3 linked regions of the Mytilus edulis genome follow. The protein of the gene in region 1 purifies or fractionates together with the protein of each later gene. This does not show direct contact. Links are inferred from orthologs where the notes say so. Each region holds a gene or a part of one and is shown on either strand. Other genes may lie near its edges. The genes, in order: serine/threonine-protein phosphatase 4 regulatory subunit 2-A-like, pre-mRNA-splicing factor ATP-dependent RNA helicase PRP16-like and protein phosphatase methylesterase 1-like.

Region 1 (6,890 bases):
TTATTATTACATAACATTGGACAATTATATTTACAAAATGTATATTTTATGAGAACCTTTTATAATGTTTTAATACCCTTATCTTTGACTTAATTTATGTTTTGTAAACTGTTGCTGGGACAGTCTTCCCCTAGCTTTCGAACTGTACACTTGTGTTAATAAATTTGTATATATTTTTATACGGTCTTGCGTTTAAAGCAGCCATAGTGTCGATTATAGACCTACAGACTTTAATGTAACCCGTGCCGAAGTTCACGGACTTATGCCGGAATTTCACGGGGTTATAAAAATATGCCGAGGCGATGTGGTTGACAGACTACCGGAGCCAATCACCCTGTAACCACGCCAAAACAGTATTGGAAAGTCTCATTATTTTTTGCGTTCATAGACCATATGATAAGGCAACTGAAGAGTGGAGTCGCGCCAAGTTATCAGAAAATCGCTTCTTTGTGCTGTATCTGCTTCATCGCGTTGTAGGAAATATCACAAACGAACAAATCTCAATATTGTCAGAAACATACGAAACTGACGAATTCAATTGGGAGATCGTTCGATGCCGAACACGTACGCTGGTTTATAACATCTCGCGAGTGCTACCATGCCATGATGGCCCTGAGATCTATCAGTCACGGTACTACGCATGTAATTGAAAACAAATGTACGATCAACAATGAACAACGAAAGTTACATAGCATTACTGCATATTCATGGAATTCAGTGTGAATGTTGACAAAGTAATAAAGAAGCTTGTTTCTGCCCAGACCCGAAGATCAGATTTTGGACAATTTTGAGTAAATTCTGTATCACAAATATGTGTTGTTTATGTATTACTATATTCAGAAGATTTATTAATAGCTTCACATTCATAATTTTTTATCTACACATAGCTCCTCTTTTAACCGTCCTATGACCGAAAACTGAAAAAAAATTCTGCATAATAGGGTCCCAATTTTTTTTCTCACAGTTTGTGTAACTGGTACTTTAAAATTATAAACGCTATATTGAAATGGAAACTGTCGAAAAGCAGGGCCGTAACTACATTGTGGCAAATGAGGCAAATGCCTCATGTTGAAAACTTCAAAAAAAAAAATGAAACAAAAAAATTGTCTTCATATCAAATTGTGTTCACGGAAAGTGTCTTGCAAAAAAGAAAGTTCTCTTCACTCTCTGCTGTCGTCCCTGCATGTTTTTCGTGATCCATATTTCTATTTTACTTTTAGTTTTGTTTTCAGAGTTGATGGTCTATTGTTTGTTATTATGTGTCCCGGGTTTGTCTTTTGTTCATTTATTGTCCTACTTTGTGACGATAGTCTGAGGGTTAATTTCCATTTGTAAACGTGTGGTTTTGCAATGTTGCATGTTAACCGATGTCCAGACATTGTGCGACAAAAATATTTTAAGAATATACGATGCTACTGGACACAGAAAAAACTGGTCGTTTCTGCATGGGGCATTGAACTTGATATCAAAGAATACAAAACTGACTCTTTTTGTAGATAAAACTAAACAGCTGACATGGATTAAATTAAAGTAAGACGACCAATTCATCGGTATCAAATCATCTATAAAAAAAAACATCACTGTATAGCTATATGACCTTTTACATTGAAGGATTAAACTTGCATTAAGTCTTGTTAACAGAAAATAAAGGAATATGGAGAAAACGTACACGGGAACTAATCTCACACAAAGTCAATGCATAGAAAAAATACAAATGACCAATGTTCAAAGTTTTTATTCCTGTTCTTCATCTTGGTAGTAGACGGAGGGTCTTCAACAATAAAAGAATCATTAATACCGTAAAACAAGGTCAAGATGGTTCTTAGTGTCGACTTAGGCAGTACTAGTACTTAAAGTATATTACTGCACTGTCACTATGTTTAAATCTAGTCATTATAAAATCACCAAAGTCTAAGCACAATACAAAACAAGAACAGACAGACAGACCCGGTTTTTATTTCATGAGACTTACGATTTTTGCTTTATCCTACACATCGGTCTGTTAATGATGTTGTCTCCGTAAAACCTAAAAGTCCCAAATTACAATGAATCTACGTTTTTGCTTTGAGACCAGCATATTGTCGGAGAAAAATGGCTAAAATATTAATTGCGTTTCAATGTTAGAAAGAGTCTGGGAAACGCTCAGAATGCATGATTTTGCGTTATTTTTCTCAAAGCTTCTGGGGGTCCTAAGCGGTCCCCAGAACCCCCCCCCCCCCCTCCCCAGACCCCTCGCCGAAAAAAATTCGCCTCGCTACGCTCAGCATATATATTTTGCCTCACTATTAACAGAGGCTAGTTACGGCCCTGAAAAGTGATAGAATATTTCTCTTCGTGAACATTTAGTGACTTTTTTACCTGTTTTGGGGGGTTGTCTCTTATGTCAATATACATGGTAAACAGATTTTCACGTTTTCAATGATATTTGGATTTTTGATATTTTCAAATTTTGTTCGCATCGCTCCGCTCGGCGGTAGTAGCTAACACATCGTTTCGTTCTAAAACACAAGGAAAAGTAATCTCATAATACAACAGCCTTTTCAGGGTAAACGTAATGCTAGCTGTTATACATAATAAATGATAAATACCATGTAAATAAATGTTTCAATTTTTTTTCATCAATATTTACCTTTCTTGTCGCTAGAATTGTTTTCTTTTGCATATTCTTTTAATATTTATTTGGAAAAAGTAATTTTAATTAAAAAAATATGTTTTCTTGTCGCTTCTTGTCGCTAAAATAATTCTTCTTGTCGCGTCTTGACGCTTTTTGTCGCTTAAATTCTTCTTGTCGCTAATTAGTGAGACCTAGGTAAAAGGGAAATCCTAAAATTGAAATTAGGGGGTTTAATTATTTCCTTACGCCTACCATGGCAGTAATATAGTTTAAGCAACACGTTTCCTAGGTTTAAATTTTTATTCAAAATGCATTCAGTGCAATTTTAAAGCAAATTTATTGTAATATTGAATTATCGGAAATGAACTTACCTATCACCCCCAAAGAATGAAATAAGTTGCGCCATAACGTCATTTCCGTGCCGCCATTTGTTGACCTCCAGTTTGAGAATGGAAAACAAAGAGGATATTTTAGACGCTTTGAACGGTAATATATCACAAATTAATGACTAAAGATAAGCAATGACAAGTGTAGTATTGAACTACACGATAGTACTCTGTTTTGAATTTGATTCCTTAAAAAAAGACGTGAATTTAATAGTACTTTATTTTTTCTTTCAGAATTTGAGAAGAAACCATGCACAGAAATCCCTCCATTGTTAGACCAGTATCTGCATCAAGTTGCAAAAACAGGAAAAACTTTGTATGTTTTATTATAAGATTGACCTAGGTTATATGTCGTACTGTAGTCAATATATGCATACTTCATTTGACAATTGAAGCCCCCCACCCCATGGCAAATTATCTCAAGATTAAATAAAGTTATCAAATCATTTAATTGACATAATGTCAATTAAATGATTTGATACCTTACCTTGGCTTTAAAATTAGTTTTTAGAAAACCTGAGTTTTGGTTTGAATAACTGACCAAATCATAGGCTAAAGGAGAACAAATAACTATGGCGTAGGAAGGTGTCAATGAAAAAGTAAAATATTAATGCCTCTCAAGACGCTTTCGAGACGTTTGACCACAAACCAATCCAGCTAAACACCACTTGGGCATTGATCATTTCAGTTCGTTAAGAAGTCTCAGACCCGGTTGTGATGTCACTGCAGATCTGAGAAGTGTTTATAGTCATCATTTTGTAACATAACTTCATCTTTATAAAAAATCTAAATTTGATGTCATATCCTTGCTCTACATGTATTTATTGATAGGGACAGAAATAATGAATTGTATACATGTACATGTAGCAACAAACTTTCATCTTCTCACCGTTTGACTCGCCATAGCCAAACAAGATGAGGCCGTGGACTCACCATCAAAATTCCTTTAATAGTGAGAACCCTGATTAACCCTTTCACCGATAGCTGCCCAGACTGAAGCTACTCTGAGACGATGGCTTCCCTGGCTACTATTACTTAACCCTTTCCTCCATAGTGACACCTTTTGACGCCACCCCCTTTACTCCATAATGACGCCTGTGTAGTACCTCTGTTGAAACGCTTTGACTACAAAGTGTCTGCAGTTGACTTAATAAAATTTGTATCCAATATGAAAAGGAATAACATAGGAATATCTGACTTAAATTTATTTGAAGAAATATTTGTTTTTCGCAATGCATTAATACTTTAAAGTATATGTTCAGCATTTTATTAAAAAAATCCTATGCGAATCAAGTATGCAAAAAAAAAATTTCAATGGAGGAAAGAGTTAAGTTGGAGATCTTCATATTAAATGTCAATAAAAACTTGTTTGTAGTTATTTGTGTATTTATTTTTTTCACTAACACTATGTTCACAGTTTTGTTCATGTTTTGATAATTTTTCTTCATAAAATATTCAAATTTTCAAATTTTCGGCATTATCTAGGTGAAATTATCAAAATTCTGCTCTTTGACCCCAAGTTGTAATTTTTTAACCCAAAACGGCAAAATTTTGAAAAATTTTACTAGGCTGTACAAATTCCTCACACTGAACGATGTCCATTCCAAGTGTTTCGTACATAAAACAACATTTTATGTCCAAAAAGTATACTAGTTTGGCTTCAATTCTTCCATATTCTTTCAAAAAAAATGTTCCCTCATTTCAAATTCTCGTAAATTCAGTAAATTTCCTCTGATTTTGACACAGTTTTCAACATGTAGAAGCGCCATGTTTACACTTTCATCCGGATATTTATCAAAGAAAGATAACTCATGTTAGCACTGTTTTGAGCGGGAAATATAAAAGAGGTATTCCGATTCCCGGTAAAACGGGACTCATCGTCAGCTGTCTGAAGCGTGAATCCCGGTAAACCGGTACTCATCGGCGAAAGGGTTAGGATACAAATATATTATTTTTTTTGTTTTAACAGAAACAACTCAAATTTAAACTAAGTTTTCTAGTGCCCATATATCCGCGATCGGAACCTGCACTATGTAACATACAGACAAGACTGAAATCATAAAGATGCTTGATCATTTTATTGACAACACAGTTTGGTACTTTTAATTTTAAACTGTGGAAGATTAATAACTTCCATTGTCCTCAGTTTGAATGCACATATAGTTGAAGATTTTTGGAGGTCTATTTTTATATGCAAGAAATTGAAAAAAGTCACATGTACATGTATAATTTTATAATACTTATTTTTTCAGATTTCCATGGCATCAGCTGAAAAAGTTATTTGTGGCAAAAGTTGATCTAGTCATGACACAGTTCAAGGAGACCAGTCCAACAGACTTATTGCAGACAACACCAAATATTGAGCCAGTAAAATATGACGAAATGAGAAGGAGAATCCTGTCCTTAATGGATGAATTTCAAGGGTAAAAAAATCCTAACCTACGATTTTGTCTCATACAAAATTTCTCAGAGATGATTAAACATGAAAATGTCATAAGTTGATTACATGAAACTGAGGTTTGGCTTTATAAGGAATAAATTTGAAGCCATTGTCCTTTGTGTCAAAGGGGAGGTAATCTCCCTTACTTATATATTGAAATATGTGGTAATAATCTCTTTATGATAAAATTGAGGTTTTGCAGAATTTGACATGGTAGTAAGTCAGGACGTTTTGTATTTTAGTCATTTTCATGACTTTACACTTACATGTACAGCTACAACTGAAATATAAGTGAACCACTGACTTCAAAATGAGTCAATTGTTATCTCTTGGTTTCGAAAAAGAAATCAAATGCCTGAAGTGGATGATAATCAATCTGCAGAACACACCCTTTTATAGCTAGAATAGTTCAACATTTTATTAAATATAATGACCCTTTAGAAAAAACCTGAATCAATTGTAATAATTGCCATTTTAACAGAACATCTAAAGGTTCAAATCCTAGAAAAGGTCTATTGTGAGAATACGATACAATGTACCAATATATAAGTAGAGACCAGGGAACTTAATTGGGGATATGTAATTTTGATTTAAGTTATATTATTCTTATTTTTACATTTAGGGCACCATTTACTGTTCAAAGGCTTTGTGAATTAATCAATGAACCAAAAAGGCATTATAAAAGATGTGACAAATTTTTGAGAGGCATTGAAAAGGTAAGACATTTAAGCTCACCTGGTTCTAAGCATTTGTTAGTTACCAGTATATCATCTCCATTTGTCCACATCCATTATACCAAACTTGTTTTCAAAACAAACTTTTCAATTATAATAGTAGTACAGATGAGTTTTTGTGTAAAAAAGTATTAAAATAATTTTCAATTTATTCTTTCAGTCCTGTATGTTCGGATGCAAGTACATTTATAAATGCAAAGATTTCAATATATTTACTTTATCAAATTATTTGACATGTTAGATTTAGAGGACACATCCCCAACCCATGGTTAAATATAAACAAATCTATAGCTGATAAGTATAATTTTGATTCGAATAGGACAAATATAGTAATTTTGCCAACCATGAAAACCCTATAAACACAATACTGTCCTGACTATAATAACAAATAAAATAAAATCACTTTTTTTCACCTTAAAATATTCTTTTTATCTTATTTTAATATTATATTCTGAGGGGAACAGAAGCCTGAAAATAAACATTAGAGATAACAGTATTGTATTTGAAGCTTGGCCTACGTAAAACTCAGTTTTCAATGTGGCAATTTATGTTTACCTGGGCCGAGGCTGGTGGTACACATGATAGACAGATTAGCCAATTTTCTGTATCAATGCATTTGGGCTAAAAGTAGATATTCGGTGATTACACTAGTTGACCATATATATGGGTTATCATATTAGAATTGTTTATTTGTGATCTGATATGTCACTACAAAC
Region 2 (6,890 bases), on another chromosome or scaffold:
AAATGTGAATGAAGAAATTAATTATGTATAAACATGATAAAATAAGTTTTTAATATATGAATTAATTCATAAACTACAGGCAACTACATACCAAAACTTACTTGTCCGAATCAAATTGTAACTTGTCCAAAAAAAATCTTAATAATAACCTTTTTTGTATTTTAAGTTAATTCAAGGAACAAAATAAAGTAAAACAATAGAACAGAATTTGACTTATTTCTTTTGAAATACTTTTCAAAAATATGAGTCGAGAACAACTGAATCTAGTCATGTCACAGGACTTAGGTTCTAGTTTTTATCAATGCCAAAGTCTGACCAGACTTTGCACATGAGGCACCATCTGATAGGCCTGTCAATATATACACTCATTTGATTTGTATCCTGTTTTTTTATGTTGAAAAAAGTTAATTCAAATTTATGCAATCAATAAACTAGAGGATCTTACGAGCCTGTGTCGCTCACCTTGATCTATGTGCATATTAAACAAAGAACACAGATGGATTCATGACAAAATTGTGTTTTGGTGATGGTGATGTGTTTGAAGTTCTTACTTTACTGAACGTTCTTGCTACTAACAATTATCTTTATCTATAATGAACTTTGCCCATTAGTAACAGAGGAAATTATTTTGTAAAAATTTACAAAAATTTACCAAATTAATGAAAAATTGGTAAAAATTGACTATAAAGGGCAATAACTCCTTAAGGGGTCAACTGACCATTTTGGTCATGTTTGACTTATTTGTAGATCGTACTTTGCTGAACATTATTGCTGTTTACAGTTTATCTCTATCAATAATAGTATTCAAGATAATAACCAAAAACGGCAAAATTTCTTTGAAAATTACCAATTGGGGGGCAGCAACCAAACAACCAGTTGTCCAATTCATCTGAGAATTTCAGGGCAGATAGATATTGACTTAATAAACAATTTAACCCTGTCAGATTTGCTCTAAATGCTTTTGTTTCAGAGTTATAAGCCAAAATCTACATTTTACCCCTATGTTCTATTTTTAGCCATGGTGGCCATCTTGGTTGGTTGGCTAGGTCACCGCACACATTTTTTAAACTAAATACCCCAATGATGATTGTGGCCAAGTTTGGTTAAATTTGGCCCTGTAGTTTCAGAGGAGAAGATTTTTGTAAAAGATACAAAAATTTATGAAAAATTGGTAAAAAAATGACTATAAAGGGCAATAACTCCTTAAGGGGTCAACTGACCATTTTGGTCATGTTTGACTTATTTGTAGATCGTACTTTGCTGAACATTAATGCTGTTTACAGTTTATCTCTATCTATAATAGTATTCAAGATAATAACCAAAAACGGCAAAATTTCTTTGAAAATTACCAATTGGGGGGCAGCAACCCAACAACCGGTTGTCTGATTCATCTGAGAATTTCAGGGCAGATAGATATTGACTTAATAAACAATTTAACCCTGTCAGATTTGCTCTAAATGCTTTTGTTTCAGAGTTATAAGCCAAAATCTACATTTTACCCCTATGTTCTATTTTTAGCCATGGTGGCCATCTTGGTTGGTTGGCTAGGTCACCGCACACATTTTTTAAACTAAATACCCCAATGATGATTGTGGCCAAGTTTGGTTAAATTTGGCCCTGTAGTTTCAGAGGAGAAGATTTTTGTAAAAGATACAAAAATTTATGAAAAATTGGTAAAAAAATGACTATAAAGGGCAATAACTCCTTAAGGGGTCAACTGACCATTTTGGTCATGTTGACTTATTTGTAGATCGTACTTTGCTGAACATTAATGCTGTTTACAGTTTATCTCTATCTATAATAGTATTCAAGATAATAACCAAAAACGGCAAAATTTCTTTGAAAATTACCAATTGGGGGGCAGCAACCCAACAACCGGTTGTCTGATTCATCTGAAAATTTCAGAGCAGATAGATCTTCACTTGATAAACAATTTAACCCCCATGTCAGATTTGCTCTAAATGCTTTGGTTTCAGAGTTATAAGCCAAAATCTACATTTTACCCCTATGTTCTATTTTTAGACATGGGGGCCATCTTGGTTGGTTGGCCGGGTCACGGGACACAATTTTTAAACTAGATACCCCAATGATGATTGTGGCCAAGTTTGGTTAAATTTGCCCAGTAGTTTCAGAGGAGAAGATTTTTGTAAAAGTTAACGACGACGGACGACGTCGACTACGGTTGACGAACGCCAGGTTAGCTAAAAAAAAAGATAAGGTATGATTGCTAATCAGACAACTCTCTGCAAGAGACCAAATGACACAGAAATTAACAACTGTAGGTCACCAAGTATTGTTTTTTCTACATATGGTCAAATATGATTTTGTAAATCTTATGGTCAATAAATTCATTTCTACTTTTAAAATAATTTTGTTAAAAAAATTACTGGTATGGTAATTATTATAATGCAACAGAAAATTGTAGGGAAACAAGGTCTTGGTCCCGAACTGTCTATTAATCATGTCTCATACAGTGCCAAACTGTCTATTAAAATTGGGGCTGAATGTCTTAATTCCAAGCTGGTGACGAACTGTCTTGTAAAGTTACCTCATCTACAAAGCGCATACTGATTTGGTCCATTGGATCAGAATAGTATGCCTTTTACCTGTCAAATAGTACCTGACAAAGAACCAGTTTTTATTGTCGATTGCAAGTAAACATGTCAAATTAATACATGTACTTGTTTTTATCTTCTTTTTTTTTTGTTTTTTGTTTACAACTACTTTGTTCATCAAAGTTTGATTAAATTGATTTTTTCTGCAAAATAATTTTACTTGTCGACAAGGTTGATATAGCTTTAACTTGACCGACCTTTTTTTACTCTGGTAACAGACAATAGGGCAAGCGTTATTGTCAAGACCTGAACTATAAATAACAATCATGACAATTTGTATTTTTTTAAATATGTGAGTGCTAGCTATATAGATAGTTTTATTCTTACAAATTCAAAAATTCTTCAGACTTTATTTCACGTCTTGGTTATCAATATTTGGGCAAAGAATTTAGGGTTAATATACACAACCAGAATAACTAAAGGAAAACTTTGAAAACTATCAGAAAAGTGTGCATTTCCCTGCCTTTAAAAAATACAATTTCAAACTATCAAAATAATAAAGAATAGATAACTTGTTTTATGCATATACATGATATATAAGCATGTTTTAAATATGATGATACAGGATAAATATAAAAGTTGTAAAGAAATCTTGCTAAAGGATTAGCTGATGGTGACTGAGTGACCCTGTCTCCTTTATGAGATTACCCTGCCTTATACTATCATCCTCTATTATCTTATCCGATTTTAATGTGTGTAAATTAAACCCACCTTTCTTTACAACTTTTATGCTTTGACAATTTATTATCTTAAATTTAACTACACTTAAACACTGCCTGAAGATTGCATTTCTTTGTTTACAATCCAATGTTTATATGCATGAATATGATGATACAGGATAAATATAAAAGTCGTAAAGAAATCTTGCTAAAGGATTAGCTGATGGTGACTGAGTGACCCTGTCTCCTTTATGAGATTACCCTGCCTTATACTATCATCCTCTATTATCTTATTCGATTTTGATGTGTGTAAATTAAACCCACCTTTCTTTACGACTTTTATGCTTTGACAATTTATTATCTTCTTCATCACTACTTGAGTCACTACTATCACTTTCATCTTTGCTGTCTGTATATGATGTCACCTTTGATCTTTTTGTTGTATTTTCACTTTTGATATCTAATTTCCTTTTTTCTGCTGCCAATTTATCAAGTCCCAATAGCGATACCTTGGGAAGTGATGGTTTCTTGAATTGAAAGTCTCCATGTTCTGATTTCTTTTTCATTATAACAAGTCCACCCTTTTCTTTGCCCAATGAACCCTCCAATCTGTGTAATTCAGGATCGTCATCTGGATCTACGAAACTTGTCATTGTGAAATTAAGTTTTTTTACACCTGCACTGTAGAAGTAAGAGGCATGATTTACAATTACTTGTACAAATCAAACATCATCAGATCATGTCCCATGATGTGGTTTTGCTAAATATTTTAGATGTTTTATGACTTGACACGTGTTTATCCTTATTACACTGGGGAAGTATTAATTGGAAATATATCTCATAGGCATATTTAGCAGGTTTTATCTAACAACACCAACTTTGAAACATAAATAGTAAATCATGCAAAAAACGTTTTGAAACTTTAACCGGAAACACTCTCCAATTTAAGAAACCACGAAAATGATAAGGTGCGATCGAAAAAATTTCTGTAAATATCATAAATATTCAATGTTTATTATTTTTTTCCTTTATCGTAGAATTATTGAGAGTATTCATATCAGAATATTTTAAAGCATATACCTACATAGTCTTTCAATATCTTAAAAATGGAATAAAGAAACATTTATTTTATATTTACAAATAGATGTTTTTCGAACACACCTTAAAAGTTAGCAACAAGAAAGCGTCAATATGGCGGACACCTTGCTAGTCCGTGCATTGAAAGGGAAACCAAAAACGTTGAATTTGTGTAATAAGAAACTTGACAAGGTTCCAAGGGCCATTGGAAAATTAGACTGTGTTGTACACTTGCAGTTGAGAGGGAATAAATTGAAGGATTTACCTATAGAACTTAGCCATTTGTTTCAGGTTGATATTTCCCATAAAATATAATTTTAAATTCTGTAAACAAATTTGTTATCAGAGTTAATGTTTCTTATTCAGGTGTAACAACTCAGAAAAGAAATTAGCATATCCATACTGAGTATTAATGTAAATGAAAAATACCGGCTCAGTTTGTCGAGAATATGAGGTATCAGGTCCGTTCGCGCCCAATATACTTTCGCACCCTACACGTTCGCACTCTACACGTTCGCGCCCAATTTTAATTCAAATTCCAGTTGAATAATTGGAAAATCATGATTGTTGTTTTTAATTGCTTTCGTGTAAATACTGAATGTATTTATAGCTTGGTATGAGTAAACATTTGAAGATTTTAAATGAAAAACACAAAAGATAATTGTTTTTAACAGCTTGGTCCCTTTGATCTGAAACAATGAAACAATAAAATATAGCAATACACTATTATAACCAAAACATGATAAAATTTATTCAACACACAAAAAATAAAAACGTAGTCAGAATCTCACTTCATTTTGAAACAAGTCATTGAATAAAGTTATAGCAATACATAAACCAAAACATGATTAAGAGTTATTCAACACAAAATAAAACGTTGACAGAATCCCACTTTATATAGAAAGGAATATTTTTTTTTTAACAATACACTATCCAAAACATTTCAACACAAAAGAAAAATGCTGTCTCACTTTATTCTGAGACAATGAAAACAATTATACTTATAAGAATAATACTTGCCAAAACTTGATTACAAAGTTATTAAACACAAAACCAATTAAAATTGGGCGTGAACATGTAGGGTGCGAACGGTTTTTGGGTGGAAACATGTAGGGTGCGAAAGTGAAAGGGGGCGAACATGAGTGGGTGCGAACGTGAATGGGCGCGAACGGACCCGGATTCAGAATATGATAACACATGTGCACTCGTGCAGCATTTATCTGTTCAGCCACCATAGTGTTAATTAACAGCTACTTATTTATTGTGTGGCATCGCAGTATTAACATTTGAGGTCAAGTTCCTATTAATATAATTGGTCAATTTCATGGTGAATTGTAGTATTTGTAATATGTTTGTAAGATTCATCAAATTAATAAACGGGGTTGGAGTTATTGTCAATGTGACAATGACCCCAACCTGTTCCTTTCTGTGCTGAGATTAAGATGGAATGGCAGACTAGTTTACTCCCAGTAATTCAAAGAATAACGGGAGAGTATTTACTCCTTTTTTGACAAGATTTTATGAAAATGACAACTTGGACCTTTAATTTGAATCTGATTAAATTCAATTTTTATGACTAAGTAAAAAAAAATTTATTCTATAAGTCAAAAAAATAGGTAACACTCAAAATGTAAAAGTGGAAAATTAAGATGCTATTTATCTCCCCTGAAACAGGTACATTTGTATGTTATGGCCTTACAGTTTATCTTTTGTATTATGTTTTAGGTATCAGATACTAATTTGTAATACAAATGTACCATCTATGTACCAATACAATGCATCAGATAATTCCCTTTCCTTAATTAGAATATTATAATATGATAGGGAACCGAGGTTTTACAAAGACACATCTTGAGCTGTTTTTAATGAATAAGCTATACAGGCTGACCAAAGTTCAGTAGACATTAACCAATCTGTAACATCATATAGCATATGTATTGTGACAAGACCTGTTCTTTCTTATTTTAATAAGGCCACATGTAATAACAAAATATCTTTTTGTTTTATAGTTACAGATACTGAACTGTGGAAACAATGAACTTGAAGACTTACCAGAAGTTTTGGAGTATCTCACTATGTTGGAGAAATTACATCTGTTTAACAATAACCTAAAGAATCTGAACCCCAAAGTCCTAAGTATGTATTGTTCATCTTTTTAAAGTGTTATTTACTGATTATCAAGTTTTATATGATATAATTGATATGTAATGTAAGTCTTAACAATACTGTTGTTGAAGAGTGCCACTGTACATGTTTAGTAAATAAGGGTAAGATTGTTGCAAATGCATTTTTACAGAATATTGCAGCAAAAGAGTTAGTTCTAGTGTTTACATGATTGTTTAACTTATTATATTGTAATGTTTTTTTAATGTGTTAAACCTGCATTAGATTGTACAGAATTTGTCTGAACAGTTTCGAAAATTATGCAATAAATTTCTTCTATTAACTTTCGATACTTTGTTACTCATGTTAGCATTTTTACATATATATGTGTATATTACGTGAAGTAGCTTATGGTACATGTTGTGTATAATTTATT
Region 3 (6,890 bases), on another chromosome or scaffold:
ATTTAATTTCAATTAGATTGGAATTAAGTTATTTTCCTTTTGATACAACTTTCCCCGTCGGAGCCTCTACATCTATTCACACCTGTCAATCATTTCTCGCAAGTGAAACATTTTGGTCAGACAGATCACTCGTGCTTTCTATTTTGACATATTTCCCGTTAATCTCTTTGAAAGTCAAACAATTGGTTTCCTTTAATACAATATTTATAACGCCGAGATCATATTTCGATTCCTATTTTTTTTATTTTATTTAAAATTGTTGACACTCGAGATAATATGCCTTTCTATTTTCATGTCTAAAATATTTTATGAAAATCGCCGGTGTTATAAATATATTTTACAAATTGTATCAAATCGATACACGAAAATCAAAGTTTAACCTTATATAGTTTATTGACTAAATGCACATTTATACCCCAATGGGGTTGAAGGCTATTCGTACTAGTCATGATCAGCTGTCTTTACTTTTTCGTCGTACTTCTAGTCATTCTAAAGCTCGCGCAGTCAGTTTGATTTTTTAAATCGATGTTGTATTATTTCCGAAGTTTAAAGGAGGTCTCCAAATAGATTATTTAATTGGGAATCCGGGAAATGACTGATAAAAATAAAACAAAAAATAGTTAAAGAAGACTAAATCGTGTTTTTATTATACATGTATGTAAATCGATTAAATTTCTATTCTGGTAAATCGATCAAGAGCCTCAAAACTAAAACACAATACTGTCAATCATTCCACATCAAATTTAATCATGAATGAATTTTCCCACGGTCGGTCAGTAAGGTCACCTGTGTTTACTGTTACGACATTTCCCGCCATATAAAAATCTCGTGCAGTGGACAAAATCGATCTTTAATATCTTTTATTAGCATTCAATATTATTGTGAGTGGAGTCAAGTTAAAGTTCAACCACGTGCACACGCTGTTGATCACTGATATGTGTATCATGGAATTGTCTTTTCACGGCAATTTTTTCTTTTAGATTGCTATAAAAAATATAACATACAAGTTTCCTTTGTTACATGGATTGTGCGTAAATTAATATTATGCAAATAAGTTCGGGATTTCGGGATTAACCCTTTCGGGATCTGGGAATTCTTTTTTCGCGATGTCGGGATTTAAATTTATTTAAATTCGGGACCTTGTGACTTCGTGTTTTTAAGCCCGGGATTTCGAGATCCGGACCCCTTTTACCCCTACCCCCAAATGCAGATCAATTATATTAATTTAGCATAATGAACAAACACGGAAATCTTAAAATAAACTTATGCCCGGGAAGAATCAATATTTTCTTCTAGTGTTATTATTTGCGTTCTATTTTAGTCATACATCTCCAACTTTCGGACAATATTTGTTTACAGTAAAAAGTAAAAACTACAAAGAATCATCAAGCTACTAATAATATACAAAAGTTGCTCACTGTAATTATTTTTTATCTCGGAACTGACACAACAGACAGAATATTAAATACAAATTTTAGAAATATTTTGCATGTGACCGCGTCAAACTAAAATGTATGCAGCAGCACTTGAGATAGCATTCTGCTAATCAATGGATTTACGTGGAAAATAAATCAGTAAAATAAAAATAACCGTAAGCTTCAAGAAATAGAATACATGTAAAAATATATATGTTTAAACAATTTATGCAAACAAATAACAAAAAGATACAAAAAAAAACCAAACGAAAAGGAACATAAAATAAAAATAATTTTTAGGAACAAAGAAAATAAATATTAACAGTTGAAATATCAAAACCATAATTAACAAAAATTGGCTATTTTTATTAAACAATGTTTTCTCCAGTACTTCACCTGTAAAAATATTTTATGTCAAATACGATGTCGAACTAATATAATCAATAAAGTGACTGAGAGGTTAAAATTACAGGTAATCTGATTCTGAAATCAGTGAACCGTAATTTTAGCAACACGGATTAAGATGAAAGGACCATTCACACCTGGATCTGTTGTTTAATGAACATACTACCTACCATAAAAATGTCCGATTATTCATATCCGACTAGACGGATTAAGACATCCATAAAAATAAGTCCCTACCCGTACTGTATAGTAATGGAAAAAAGACCAAAATACAAAAACTTAACATTGACAAATGAACCTGTAATCATGACAGTCATTCCATATACAATTTTCATTATCAATGGGTACATTTCAGTCTGGCAGGTTCCTTGGTCAATGTTAAGTTTTTGTATTTGTGGTCTTCTTTCCAATGTTACTATAGTGTTACTTGCAATATCCAAATAAAGTCAGGTCACTGTCCCGATATGAATTTTGGCAATTTGTAGCAGAATAAACAATTATTGTTTCTAAATTTATTTTTTTTTGCAGATAAACATAGCCTAGTAGCAAGCAGCAGCGCCGTCATAAATTATAATTAGATATATGGACTTCTTCTGATTTCACAAAAAATCAAGAGATGTGGGTAAGTTGTCAATTAAGTATTTACAAGGACAATCTCCACCCCAACAATTGCTTATATGCTTATAATCATGATCATATTTGAAAAAACTAACAAAAACAAAACAAAAACTTAACATTGACCAATGAACCATGAAAATGAGGTCAAGGTCACTGTCCCGAAATGAAAATCAAATTGTTGCTGCCTTACCACCCTCTAATCAAATCAAATTCAGAAAGAAGCTCATATTACAGTAACTAAACAAGATATTAAAACAGCAGCAAGAATTTTAGTAAATAAAAAGTGGCAACATAGATGGGATAATAGTAGGCAACATAGATGGGATAATAGTGATACAGGAAGATTTTATTATAACTTTCATCAGACTGTCAACAAAAAATTGACATTTGATTATCCAGATCATAAAACAGCAAAAATTATTAGAAATTTAAGATCCGGATACTACCTAAAAAATTACCAAAATAAAATCAATCAAAATATAGACCCCAAGTGTGAATGTGGTCAATTAGAAACTGTGGAACATTATTTATTATTTTGTGAAAATTATGAACAAGCAAGACAGAAACTTATACATGAGATATACTTCAACACAGGATCGTTGCATATTGATTTGGAACTTTTATTGTCAATAGAAAAAAACGACAATGTCTCCGTCTCTAATGAAACACTAATGCGATTGTTGGGTGACTTTATTTGCGAGTCGCGCCGGTTTGATTAATGTAATGACTAATGTTAGATTTTTTTTTTCCTTTAAATTTTCATGTTAATTAATAAATGTATATATATTTTTTAATTTTGTAAAAATATGTTAAGCACAGTTGCCACCTAATAGTATATATTTTAAAGTACAAGTGAGTTGTTTACCAGAGTGAAATATATATATACATGCGAGACTTGAATAATTACAAGGGAGACAATCAAGTGTCAACAGCGACACCTACAGAATACAGAAGTTGCATCTGTTTAAACGTATGGTGACGGGGCAGATCTAGCCATTTTAAAAAGGGGGGTCCCAACCCAGTACAAAAGGAGGGGGGGTTCCAACTATATGTCCCCAATCAAATGCATTGATCGGCCAAAAAAAAGGGGGGTTCCAACCCCCCGGAACCTCCCCTGGATCCGCCAATGTGGTGATATGGCTTAAATAGCTATTTCAACACTGGTCTGGGCAGTTTATGGTGTGTTTGACTAGTATGTACTGAATATAGAGAGTACAACTTTTTTTCTGAAAGACTATTTTAAATTTATGGTATTTCTGCCATTAGTTCTTGTTTATCTGTAATGACATGTTATGGTGTTATTCAGCTGTTCATGCAATAATGAAACTGCAAATTTAAATGTGTATTCACCCTACACCAGGTGGTGGCATTGGTGGTAAACCTCCCAGTTTGTTTTTCAAAGCTTGTTTTTCCATAGCAGACATCTTGTTCCGGAAAGTGCCCGTTTTTGTTTTGTTTTGTTTATTATAAATATAATAAATTTTCAACCCAAACATTGATTAATTATTTGGATTCTCATTTTTTACCGTTAAAATTAAACATCAGTTGTTTAAATAATATAAACTACGAAAATTATATCAGTAAAAATAAGTCTCGCACTTGCGAGATTCAGAATGGCGGACAGTCCGAGAAGAATGTTTGGCTGGTAACAGCTATGTTTCTGCAAAATATAGCTATTCTGTGCATATATTCTCATTATTTTAGGAATGATGTAACCCATTAAATTCTTTAATATGGTGAAAAAGAAACAAAAAGGCACTAAGTCAACGAAAAAACAAGGTATACCCCTGTTAAAAGTGTTTGTTTACATTTTGACCATGTTTATACATGTTTAAAAATCAGCAGGTTGGCGGCAATTATGTACATTTATAGTCAGTTAATATCGCATCAGTTCTGTTTCCTATCTGTAAACATAGCATGAAATAAATGCATTTCGATCTGTCATAGGTTTCCAATATGGCGCAATTTAGTTATATCATGGTTAAATATTAAGAAAAGGGGGAGGTGTGGGAAGCTGTAAGTACACTACCTTGTCCCTTCCTGTTGGTGATTCTGTGGAATTTTACATATTATATGTAAACCATAGACTTAATATGAGCATTGTTATTTTAAAATGACAATTTTAGGCGTAAATGTCATTGGAAAAAGGGCAATTTTACGCGTTCATTAATATCACTGAAAAAAGGCAATTATTGAAGCCTCATAATTCATTCGCACATAACTTTTATTATGCATTCTTGTAAATTCAAGTTTCAGTTAAAATGGAGTAATATATTTCAATACTTTTTGCACAATTTTATATGGTTGAATTGGGTTACACTAATGACTGGACCGAATGACAGGACAGTGATTTTCCTGGTGTTTAGGAGAAGGGTCCTAGGGCCCATGCAATTGGGAAAAATATGATTGGTCTTTACGACGGCGGGCACACGGCAGCCGTGTGCGCCTCGCTAGGGGGGTTTGGGGGCATGCCCCCCCCCCCCCAAGAAAATTTTGAAAATTAGGTGCAAAATCCTGCATTCTGAGAAGGATTAACTGCATGAATTGCCTACAAAATAAGCTTTAAGGAAAAGGATTAAAAATAAAAGTTGAATGTGTCTGAGGACACATTTGCATGCACTCATGCTTTGTAACTTTACTCTTGAAAGGTAAAATTCAACAATTACTTCTGATTCTATTTATAATGATGAGAATCTATAGAAATTCTAAAAAGACACATTTGAAATCTGAAGCATTTATTTTTTAGTTTTATTTAAAATTCCAAGTTTTCCTTCATGTTTATTTTTAAACATGTCAACTAGTTGTTCCAGTTCTGTATCTGAGAGTCGGTCTTTTCCTTTTTTCACTTGTTTCATCAGAAGGAAGTAGAAACGACTTTTTGAATCCAAAAGCTTCCAGCTTCCGGCATTTACTACCGTCCGCCGCCTTTAGCTTCTTTGTGTAATATTTGGAATTATGAGACATGATCTACGTTCATTTTGTTTACATTATGTCTCAAGCGCAAACGTGACCAGAATATCGTAGATTGCAATTCAATCCAAAAAAGATTGCAAACCAATCATCGTCTTAAGTGAACGATAATGATAACTCCTGAAATAGCCCGAACGCTCAGAGATTTGTCAACAAAATAATACACGATACGGAGATACGACAATAACAAAATCTTGCGACGATGTCCATATACGATTGGGAATTTTAGAGCTGAAAATTGGGAAAAAAAGAGCATATTTCTCTTTGGGAATGGGGCCGAAATTCGGCCCCAAAATGAGGGTTGGAAAATCACTGCAGGACCAATTGAAAAATGCTAATAACTTTTTCATTTCTCAAAGGATTGATCTCAAATTTGAAATATAATCAGATTTCATCATTTGATATACAGATTTGTAAAAAAATTAAAAAAAATTGTAAGAAACTTTAGAAAACGTGACATGACCAACTATGATAATGACAGGACCAAATAAAAATGCTAATAACTTTTTTATTTTTCAAAGGAATTATCTCAGATTTGAAATATAAAATGATATGTCATATTATGAAACCAAAATGTTATAAAAAATATAGATTTTTTTCAAAAACTTTAGAAAACGTGACATGACCATCGCTGACTGACATGACCAACCTCGACAATGACCGGACCAGATGATATTGCTAATTACTCTTGTATTTCTCAGAATATTTTTCTGAAATTTGAAATATAATAAGATTTCATCATTTAATATATAGATTTAAGAAAAAAATAAAAAAAAATTGTAAGAAACTTTAGAAAACGTGACAGGACCAACTCTGATAATGACAGGACCAACGTCGACAATGACAGGATCAAATAAAAATGCTAATAACTTTTTTATTTTTCAAAGGAATTATCTCAGATTTGAAACATAAAATGATATGTCATATAATTAAACCAAAATGTTATAAAAAATAAAAATTTTTTTTCAAAAACTTTAGAAAACGTGACATGACCATCGCTGACTGACATGACCAACCTCGACAATGACCGGACCAGATGCAGTGTTCTCCCCAGGAATTTTTTAAGGCGCAAAATTCAAGGGCACGTAACTCCTTTTTTATAGTGAACTTTTGTGATCTGAATCAATCAGTCATAAATCATAACATGCAATATTGCTTTGTGTTATGTGTTTAATAATGCAGAGTATTAATGAATTTATACAAGAATATATATATATATATATATATAATAAATTGATTTTAAACACAAAAGCTATTTATATTCGGTCAATTAAAGAAGTCAAAATATAAATATTCATCTCTGTACTCTCTGCTGCTTCTAGGGTGATTCCCTATATAATCAATCAATTTTTTTTTAGAAACGTCCCTAAATCCGCCTCTGATATGATTTGTGAAGTTATTTTATTTTGTATTAGTTTTATATAAAATTCAATAAAATTTTTACATATATTTCCTAGGTGAACAATGGCAAAAAGAAGATGT

What was found.
Region 2: the proteins of serine/threonine-protein phosphatase 4 regulatory subunit 2-A-like (region 1) and pre-mRNA-splicing factor ATP-dependent RNA helicase PRP16-like purify together in Homo sapiens (affinity purification with mass spectrometry; 3 studies listed by BioGRID and IntAct, counting the BioPlex papers as one, with this or other methods). This does not show direct contact. The link is inferred for Mytilus edulis from reciprocal best matches to the Homo sapiens genes PPP4R2 and DHX38.
Region 3: the proteins of serine/threonine-protein phosphatase 4 regulatory subunit 2-A-like (region 1) and protein phosphatase methylesterase 1-like purify together in Homo sapiens (affinity purification with mass spectrometry; 3 studies listed by BioGRID and IntAct, counting the BioPlex papers as one, with this or other methods). This does not show direct contact. The link is inferred for Mytilus edulis from reciprocal best matches to the Homo sapiens genes PPP4R2 and PPME1.

What each region holds. Positions count from the first base shown.
Region 1 is NC_092344.1:52,047,808-52,054,697, forward strand, and holds the start of serine/threonine-protein phosphatase 4 regulatory subunit 2-A-like, read left to right. Parts: upstream 1-2,946; 5' UTR 2,947-3,063; coding exon 3,064-3,100; intron 3,101-3,234; coding exon 3,235-3,316; intron 3,317-5,252; coding exon 5,253-5,423; intron 5,424-6,062; coding exon 6,063-6,156; intron 6,157-6,890. UniProt on the Homo sapiens protein: Regulatory subunit of serine/threonine-protein phosphatase 4 (PP4). May regulate the activity of PPP4C at centrosomal microtubule organizing centers.
Region 2 is NC_092348.1:89,211,803-89,218,692, reverse strand, and holds the start of pre-mRNA-splicing factor ATP-dependent RNA helicase PRP16-like, read right to left. Parts: upstream 4,218-6,890; 5' UTR 3,928-4,217; coding exon 3,599-3,927; intron 1-3,598. Other genes in the region: leucine-rich repeat-containing protein 69-like, read left to right, coding at 4,466-4,642, 6,361-6,487. UniProt on the Homo sapiens protein: Probable ATP-binding RNA helicase. Involved in pre-mRNA splicing as component of the spliceosome.
Region 3 is NC_092351.1:40,371,803-40,378,692, reverse strand, and holds the start of protein phosphatase methylesterase 1-like, read right to left. Parts: upstream 3,908-6,890; 5' UTR 3,863-3,907; coding exon 3,789-3,862; intron 1-3,788. Other genes in the region: C2 domain-containing protein 3-like, read left to right, coding at 4,172-4,217, 6,866-6,890. UniProt on the Homo sapiens protein: Demethylates proteins that have been reversibly carboxymethylated. Demethylates PPP2CB (in vitro) and PPP2CA. Binding to PPP2CA displaces the manganese ion and inactivates the enzyme.